2 linked regions of the Macaca mulatta genome follow. The protein of the gene in region 1 purifies or fractionates together with the protein of each later gene. This does not show direct contact. Links are inferred from orthologs where the notes say so. Each region holds a gene or a part of one and is shown in the gene's direction. Other genes may lie near its edges.

Region 1 (4,861 bases):
AAGGTCAGGAGATCGAGACCATCCTGGCTAACACGGTGAAACCCTATCTCTACTAAAAAATACAAAAAAAATTAGCCGGGCGTGGTGGTGGGCGCCTGCAGTCCCAGCTACTCAGGAGGCTGAGGCAGGAGAATGGCATGAACCCGGGAGGCGGAGCTTGCAGTGAGCCGAGATCGCGCCACTGCACTCCAGCCTGGGCGACAGAGCAAGAGAGCGAGACTCTGTCTCAAAAAAGAAAAAGAAGAGGAAGAAAAAAAGCAACTAAGAAATGTCAAGGGGACCATTTTGGAATCAGAGAAGTCATGCTGACTGAGGCACAGGCTTGGCGTGGGAAAAGTGGATTCCAATATGGTAACTTCTGAAGTTGTCCATGGCAAATATTTCTCTGACGGCAAAGGAAGAGATCCGAACCGGGATTCCCTCATCCATTGAAAAAGTATTAACAAGTATTTATGTATGCCTACGGTGCCAGGCCTTATTCTAACCACTGGGGCTGCAATACTTAAAAAGACAAAGTTGGATCCTCCAAGGATTGTGGTGGGGAAGGCTAACAAAATAACAAAAATATGTAACATTTTTTAAAAAGTGCAATAAAGTTACAAAGCCTAGCCCCAGCTCTGCTTGTTTCCCTAGCTGAAATGGAGGATGGCCGGGTGCGGTGGCTCACACCTGTAATCCCAGCACTTTGGGAGGCCCGAGGCAGGAGGATGGTTTGAGCCCAGGGGTTCGAAGTGACAGTGAGTTATGATAGCCCCACGGACTCCAGCCTGAGCGACAGAGAGAGACCCTGTCTCTAATTTAGGAAAAAGAAAGTTGCCGGGCGCGGTGGCTCAAGCCTGTAATCCCAGCACTTTGGGAGGCCGAGACGGGTGGATCACGAGGTCAGGAGATCGAGACCATCCTGGCTAACACGGTGAAACCCCGTCTCTACTAAAAAATGCAAAAAATTAGCCGGGCGAGGTGGTGGGCGCCTGTAGTCCCAGCTACTCGGGAGGCTGAGGCCGGAGAATGGCGTGAACCCGGAAGGCGGAGCTTGCAGTGAGCTGAGATCCGGCCACTGCACTCCAGCCTGGGCGACAGAGGAGACTCTGTCTCAAAAAAAAAAAAAAAAAAAAGTAAGTTGTGGCCGGGCGCGGTGCCTAACGGCTGTAATCCCAGCACTTTGGGAGGCGAAGGGGGGGCGGGGGCGGATCACCTGAGGTACGCAGTTCGAGACCAGTCTGACCAACAAGAAGAAACCACGTCTCTGTTAAAAATACAAAATTAGCCCGGCGTGGTGGCGCATGCCTGTAACCCCAGCTACTAAGGAGGTTGAGGCAGGAGGATTGCTTGAACCCGGGAGGCGGAGGTTGCGGTGAGCCGAGATCGTGCCATTGCACTCCCGCCTGGGCAAGAGCAAAACTCCGCCTCAAAAAGAAAGAAAGAAAGCTGTTAAAACATTTGTATAAAATGAAAGGGGAGGTGACTGTTCTAGGGTTTCTAACAGCCTCCACATCGCCCAGCAACAGAGCCCACAAAACTGCCCCTGGCCGCCACCGGGATCCTCCAGCTTCTTCCCCATCTGCGGTTGGGGAAGTGGTGCAGCGGTCGCTGCGAAGGAGGGAGAGGAGCGTGTATGACGCCACATCCGGCGCGCGGCGGAACTGGCTTCCCTTTGCTTCCGCGGCGGGGCCGGAAGTAGAAGCGGCGGCGGCGGTGGCTGCGGCCCAAAGCGGAGTGAAAGAGGGAGGCAGGGAGCCGGAGAGCCGGAACCGGAGTCGCAGCGGCGGTAATATTGCCAGACTCCTCTAAGTCACCGTCCTTAGCGCGGGACCGCGGGGTTCGACGGGAGTTAGCGGGGTTGCGGCCGCGCCGTGGGACGCTGGGGGGTCCTAAGGCCGATGTGAGGGGAGGCGGGGGTGGGGGAGCCGGGCCGGCTCTAGAATCGAGTTGTCCGCCCCGCGCCCCGCACGGACACTCTGATCCGCGGGCTCGTCTTGGCCTTTCCCAGGAGACCCCTGTGCGGTGCGGAGGGGGCGGCGGCCCCGACTCTGACCCGCGCCGGGGGTGGGCCATGGCGGAGATCAGCGACCTGGACCGGCAGATCGAGCAGCTGCGTCGCTGCGAGCTCATCAAGGAGAGCGAAGTCAAGGCCCTGTGCGCTAAAGCCAGGTGAGCCCATTGGCCCTGGGGAAGGGAGGCCAAGCCGCCGCCCACGGGTTCTGTCCTGGGGCAAACCCAACTGAGAACTTTGGGCTTGCCTCGCCCTGGAAGCTTTCCCAGAGAGGAGCAGGATGGAACCGCTGCCCTCGAGGAAAATCTAGCCTGCTCGGGGAAGACAGAGCGGATAAAGACACTTAAAGTATTAGACGATGTGTTTCCAGTAGAGTAAGAATGTTACGTAAAGTACTTAGGAAACTCAAGAAAACAAGTCCATCTGTCGGGGGTCGGAAGCTTGTTGGAGGGGGGCCGAACTGTGGGACAGTCCTCGAATAAGGAGGTGGTAAAAGAGCCAAAAATCAAAGATTTAAGACAGGAAAGTTAAAGACCCTGTGATTTATAAAAGTCCTTTAATTACAACAACCCTTAAAGGTTGGTGGTATTGTACTCATTTTACAGGTGAGAACTTTCATGTTAAAAGTTACCCACAAGTAGGGAATGAGGATCGGAAGCCAGCTCTTAGTGTCCCGTCCTTTTTCAGGCCATAATGCAAAAAGGTGTGGAGTTGGATTACTCACGTTCAGGGTGGGAGCCTGAGAAATCGTAGCAAGTAAGCTAGGGTAAAATTAAGCATGATAGGGAGGGAGGCCAGTTCAGAGTTCTGTGGGAAGTAGGATGAAGCAGTGGTTAAGGCTCTGGGTTTTGCAGTGTGAGATGGCTCTAGGTTTGAATCTGAACTCTGCCACTTTCTAGCTGTGTTAGTGATCTTAAGGTGTCTTTATTTGTAAAGCGGAGTTAATAGTACTTAATAAGATGGTTGTGAAGGTTCAGTGAGTTGGTGCTTGAGATGAGGTTAGCACAGTGTCTTGGTACAGCATACGTGCTTGATAATCACCAGGTATTCTATTTCTCTTGGAAGAGGGCAATAATGAGATGGGTTAAAGCCATCAGGGAAGGCTTTTGAGTGGAGGTAGGCCTTGAAGGATGAAGATAATTTGGCTAGCTGATGGAGGCAGGGCCAGTGAGGGAAGGGCATTCCAAGCAGAACGAATGTAACAGTGGAGGCCCTGAGATGTATGGGGAACAGTCAGGGGTTTAATTATTACCTGCCTCCTCTGGGGCACTGTGTGATTGTGGCTTCTACCAGGCTGGAGAATTGTGGCAGAAGAACCCGCAGAATTACCCTATGTTTATTGAACAATAAACATTGGCCTTTATAGGGCCACTGTTGGCCTGGCCCTGTACTGGTAAAAAAACTTTTGTCCATCTCTTCCCCCCAGCAATCCTGTGAGGTTGGAATCATTTGTTCCATTTTATCACACAGGAAGCCATGACTTGTAGAGGTCTGGTGACTTGACTGAGGTCACCCACTGAGGACGTGGCAGAGCTGGGTCCTGAATCTGTGGCCCTCAGGCTCTTTGCTTGGCCCTGCCTCACATAGACTCCCTGCAGCCAGACAGGGCCTGTGAGGGGATGTTGAGCAGGGTCGGCCTCTTTTTCACCACCTGTCTGTGGCTTTTCTCTTTTGCCAGCTCAAGAAAATGTCCCTGACCAGACTAGCCCCACGGTGTTTTTAGTTTTTCCCTCTCCCTCAGTCCTGATTGGCATTTTTAGGAACTTATACCTGTTATTGCGTGGCTCTGTTCTTTAACCCTGAAGTCTTATCTCCGTCACAGGCCCTGAATCAGCGTGGTGGTGATGGTAGGCAAAGCTTGGATAGCATGCTGGAGTTTGCAGACTAGCAGGAAGTTATGTATTCAGTCTCCATGGCTCCTTGCAACAGCCTAAGGAATAGGCAGGGCGGGCTGAGTATTTAGCCCCATTTCATAGCAGAGGAAACTGAGCCTCTGAGTAGATAATGTCTTGTCCAACTCACGCAGCTAGTCGGAGGGGAAGTTAGTTTTGCATCCAGGTCTTTGACTGTGCTCCGTGGTCACTGAGAACCAGGCAGAGGCATTTAGGTTTTGATGTGTGGTGTGAGGCAGCAGGGAGCCATGGAAGACTGAGGGGTGGAGGGTCCTGCCCAGTTGAAACTGAGTGAAACTAGGAGGTACTAGGCCAAGGCTCAGTCTGAAGCAGGGCCAGCTCTGATACCTGGTTATGGCCTCCTGGGGACCCAACAGAGACCCAGGCTGAGGCTGGTAGTGTCAAGAGCACCAGCTTGCCCAGAGGGCACAGAGATGCAGGTGAAACCCGTGGAAACACAGAGGTCCGCAGTGTCTGAGCTGAAATTGCTGCTCCTAGAAATACTAGCACAGAAGAGCTGAGCTTTTGAATCAGGTGGTCTTCAGTATGAATCTTTGCCTTGTCACCTAGAAACAATATGACCCTTGTCAAGTCACTTTCTGATTTTTTGAAATGATAATGACATGCAGTTGAGAGTCCGGGTATCTGGGCACAGGGCCTGCTGCGCTGGTAGCTGTTACTGCAGGCAGGTCATGATAGGGCTGGTGAAGTACTGCAAGTGACAGAACTGGGGCTGGAATCTGGGCCTGATTCCCAGACCATAATGGGGTCGTGCCGGCACTGAGGGGTGCTTTTCCGAGAGCACGGGCCCTGCATGTGACCTCCCTGGGTTTCAGGTTTTCACTCAGGGTCTGTGGAAGGGGCTGGCATAAATTCTTAGGAAATTGGGCTTCTGGGTTCCAATTTAGCCACTCTCCAGCTTGGTAACCTTGACCCTGCCGCTTCAGTTTCTTTTTTTCTTTTTTTTTTTTTTTTT
Region 2 (4,388 bases), on another chromosome or scaffold:
CTGGTGATGGTACGACTTCCAATGTCCTAATCATTGGAGAACTACTGAAACAGGCGGATCTCTACATTTCTGAAGTATGCACAACTCTTGTTTCTGTAATATTTTATTGTATATAGGAAGTGTCTGATACTTATTTATACAAATTGATGTGCTGTTAATAGCTGAGGCCATACAGTAGAACTAGGGGGCTTAAATCTGGGTCTTTGTCCTGGTCTAAAACAAATTGTGACCTTGGACAGGTTATGGAACCTTTCTTGGCCTGAAAATAATTTTGTAATGAAGTTGCATTGCCTATGTGATTTGTATCTGTCCTTAGTGTAGATTAATAATTTAGATCTAAAAGTGGAATGTTTAGGACTAGGAATATTTGTTAGGAAAAAAGCATCCAAAAGCTTATATTTGGATAAATTCCACTTTTTTAAGCCCTGACTAGTTCCAAGGTTAAAACAAACCTCAGTGAGTATGAATCTGTTGTCAGAATTTCCTGGAAAAAGAGAGCAGTCTTTATTAAATAATTAGTAAATGATGTGAATTAGTTTGAGATTACCTATAGAAAAGAGAATAGTCCAAGCGTGGTCGCTCACACCCGTAATCCCAGCACTTTGAGAGGCCGAGGTGAGCGGATCACCTGAGGTCGAAAGTTCGAGACCAGTCTGACCAACATGGAGAAACCCCATCTCTGCTAAAAATACAAAAATTAGCCGGGCATGGTGGCGCATGCCTGTAATCCCAGCTACTTGGGAGGCTGAAGTAGGACAATCGCTTGAACCCAGGAGGCGGAGGATGTGGTGAGTCGGGATCGTGCCATTGCCTCCAGCCTGGGCAACAAGTGCGAAACGCCGTCTCCAAAAAAAAAAGAAAGAAAGAAAAGATAGAATAATGTTACCATCTGCGAGTCCTTGGTTGGGACACAGTGTCAATTTTGAAATGATTCAGAGTGGTTTGCACAGTGAATACCCAAGTGTGCTTTATAGTTTCCTTGGCTTTGACCCTGTGCTAGAGCATTACCTGTTCTTCTCCTCTGCATTGAAAGGAATATTTATCCTTTTAAATGTATTCTGAAAGCCAGCACATTATATTACCTCGTGTTCAAAGGTATGATGATCCAGAATACCCCTTCAGGAATTAACTGAACTTTGTCAGGAACTGTGGTTGTACCTACTTGATGCAAGTGTTAATGTGTGTTTATTGTAGGGCCTTCATCCCAGAATAATCACTGAAGGATTTGAAGCTGCAAAGGAAAAGGCCCTTCAGTTTTTGGAAGAAGTCAAAGTAAGCAGAGAGATGGACAGGGAAACACTTATAGATGTGGCCAGAACATCTCTTCGTACTAAAGTTCATGCTGAACTTGCAGATGTCTTAACAGAGGTATATATTAAATGTTGTCTGTGTCTGGTATAATACACCTATATAGAAAATCTCTGATAGTAGAAACATGAATATAATTCCCAATTTCAATTACAAGGTGCTGTATAGGTTCATTTTTGGGGCAATAATACCTAATTTGTGTCTCTAAAATGAGGAAATTCAAATAATAGTATATGTAACTGGGTTATAAAAGTAAAATTGAGGCTTTCATTAAAAGGTTTGTAAAGTGGAGATTTTGTTACTAGAAAGCTTCCAAGTTACCAGTATTTTTAATGAAACAGGAGAATTGTTAATGTTAATTAATGTTAATGTTTGGGAATTACAGATTGAGATTTCAGAAATGTAAATGGCTTCAGTTGTTGCTGTTTACATATATTCTGTTTGCTCATAGAAAAAGACTTAAATCAGTGTATAATTGTAAAATGAAACCTTCGGAAAAGCAAGATGTTTCTGCTGCTGCAAATTGAATTTACTTAATGGTTATGCTCCTCCAATTGCAGGCTGTAGTGGACTCCATTTTGGCCATTAAAAAACAAGATGAACCTATTGATCTCTTCATGATTGAGATCATGGAGATGAAACATAAATCTGAAACTGATACAAGGTAGGTGGTAGAATACTGTGAAATACTAATGATCAGGCATGGGGGCTTACTCCTGTAATCCCAGCACTTTGGGAGGCCGTGGCGGGCAAATCACCTGAGGTCAGGAGTTCAGACCAACCTGGCCAACATGGAGAAACCCCGTTTCTATTAAAATTACAAAAATTAGCTGGGTGTACCGGGCGTGGTGGCACGCGCCTGTAATCCCAGCTACTCGGGAGGCTGATGCAGCAGAATCGCTTGAATCTGGGAGGTGGAGGTTGCAGTGAGCTGAGATCACACCATTGCACTCCAGCCTGAGTGACAACAGTGAAACTCCGTCCCAAAAAAACAAAAAATAAACTGTGTTTAGAAATTTAGGGGTGCTTTGTACAATATATGGTTGGCTTTTTTTTTTTTTTTTCCTAAGACCGAGTCTCACTCTTGTGGCCCAGGCTGGAGTGCAGTGGCACAATCTCTGCTCAACTGCAAGCTCTGCCTTCCGGGTTCACGTCATTCTGCTCCAGCTTCCTGAGTAGCTGGGACTACAGGTGTCCGCCATCACGCCTGGCTAATTCTTTTTGTATTTTTAGTAGAGAAGGGGTTTCACCATGTTAGCCAGGACGGTCTTAATCTCCTGACCTCGTGATTCGCCTGCCTCGGCCTCCCAGAGTGCTGGGATTACAGGCGTGAAATCGTTGGCAATTTTTAAAATATCTTTGGGTATAAAATGTTGTATATTTACCTGAAGATGTAAGCTGGATAAATTGCTAGATGAATATTGTTTTTACTTTTAGTAATATTTTCTCCTGAAATAAGGTGAATGTAATGTTATATTTATGGTTAGAGTGATTCTGAAAAGTGAATGACATCAGTCATTTGGCATTTATTGATGTGCTAGGTACGAAGCATAATGAGAAGTAGTAGAGAAATTTAAAAAATTTTTTTCAAAGACTTAGAAAATGTTTGTGTTTTTCTTTTTTGTGTGTGTGTGTGGAGAATGGAGTCTCCCTATGTTGCCCGGGCTGGTTTTAAATTCCTGGGATTAAGGCATCCTCTCACTTCTGCCTCCCTAAGTGCTGGGATTACAGGCGCTTGGCAGAAAACATGTTTTTAAAGGACGTCATCACAGTTTGACAGCCTACTAGTGAGACTATCTCTGCAGACTTTTCTGTACAGCACGGGATCTTCAAGTAATTCAAGAAATAAGCTGGACACGGTGGCTCATGCTTGTAATCCCAGCACTTTAGGAGGCCGAGGCAGGCGGATCATGAGGTCAGGAGATTGAAACCATCCTGGCTAGGAGATTGAAACCCCGTCTCTACTGAAAATACAAAAAATATTAGCTGGGCATGGTGGTGGGCACCTGTAGTCCCAGCTACTCAGGAGGCTGAGGCAGGAGAATAGTGTGAACCCAGGAGGTGGAGCTTGCAGTGAGCCAAGACGACACCACTACCCTCCAGCCTGGGCGACAGAGCGAGACTCTGTCTCAAAAAAAAAAAAAAAAAGAAATGTGACTGCATGAAATATCAATACCTTCTTAGCTGAGTGTTTAACATATTATATACCCATGTGAAAATCAATAACCGTAATTTTGTGTGTTTTGAACAGCTTAATCAGAGGGCTTGTTTTGGACCATGGAGCACGGCATCCTGATATGAAGAAAAGGGTGGAGGATGCATATGTCCTCACTTGTAACGTATCATTAGAGTATGAAAAAACGTAAGTTTATAGCCCCTTAACAGTGAAATCGAGGAACTTCGTATTTTAGGGGAGTTATTTTTTGTGAAACTTTGTTTCCCACTGTAAGGACAATAATGCTCAAATTGGTTTGGGGGAGTTACAGGAAACAGTCTCTGAAAATGTATAAGGGACAGGATTCGAGCTTAGTGAACTGTTAAATCTTAGGACTAAACCAGTTTCAGAAGCTACTTTCTTAGAATGTTTCCCTGTTTTCTGTAACCTTTTTTTTTTTCTTAATAGAGAAGTGAGTTCTGGCTTTTTTTACAAAAGTGCAGAAGAGAGAGAAAAACTCGTAAAAGCTGAAAGAAAATTCATTGAAGATAAAGTTAAAAAAATAATGGAACTGAAAAGGAAAGTCTGTGGTGATTCAGATAAAGGATTTGTTGTTATTAATCAAAAGGTGAGAATGAAAACCCAATGTATAAACTAAATAGTATGTATCATCCTTTTTGCTTTTAAGGTGAAAGATGTTGAAATTAATTTTTATTTTTGTTATAGGGAATTGACCCCTTTTCCTTAGATGCTCTTTCAAAAGAAGGCATAGTCGCTCTGCGCAGAGCTAAAAGGAGAAATATGGAGAGGTATCCGAGTAATTTGACTTTTACTCATTTTGCAAGTGAATTAGGATTATTTTTCCTTACAATTTATTTTCGGGTTTTTCAACTGTACAATGAATTGTCGTTAACTATATTCACAT

The links.
Region 2: the proteins of PPP4C (region 1) and CCT6A purify together in Homo sapiens (affinity purification with mass spectrometry; 5 studies listed by BioGRID and IntAct, with this or other methods). This does not show direct contact. The link is inferred for Macaca mulatta from reciprocal best matches to the Homo sapiens genes PPP4C and CCT6A.

What each region holds. Positions count from the first base shown.
Region 1 is NC_133425.1:28,485,107-28,489,967, reverse strand, and holds the start of PPP4C (serine/threonine-protein phosphatase 4 catalytic subunit), read left to right. Parts: upstream 1-1,729; 5' UTR 1,730-1,768; intron 1,769-1,990; 5' UTR 1,991-2,053; coding exon 2,054-2,151; intron 2,152-4,861. UniProt on the Homo sapiens protein: Protein phosphatase that is involved in many processes such as microtubule organization at centrosomes, maturation of spliceosomal snRNPs, apoptosis, DNA repair, tumor necrosis factor (TNF)-alpha signaling, activation of c-Jun N-terminal kinase MAPK8, regulation of histone acetylation, DNA damage checkpoint signaling, NF-kappa-B activation and cell migration.
Region 2 is NC_133408.1:72,124,259-72,128,646, forward strand, and holds part of CCT6A (T-complex protein 1 subunit zeta), read left to right. Parts: coding exon 1-74; intron 75-942; exon of another isoform or gene 943-1,076; intron 1,077-1,194; coding exon 1,195-1,368; intron 1,369-1,868; coding exon 1,869-1,972; intron 1,973-3,559; coding exon 3,560-3,670; intron 3,671-3,931; coding exon 3,932-4,091; intron 4,092-4,189; coding exon 4,190-4,272; intron 4,273-4,388. UniProt on the Homo sapiens protein: Component of the chaperonin-containing T-complex (TRiC), a molecular chaperone complex that assists the folding of actin, tubulin and other proteins upon ATP hydrolysis.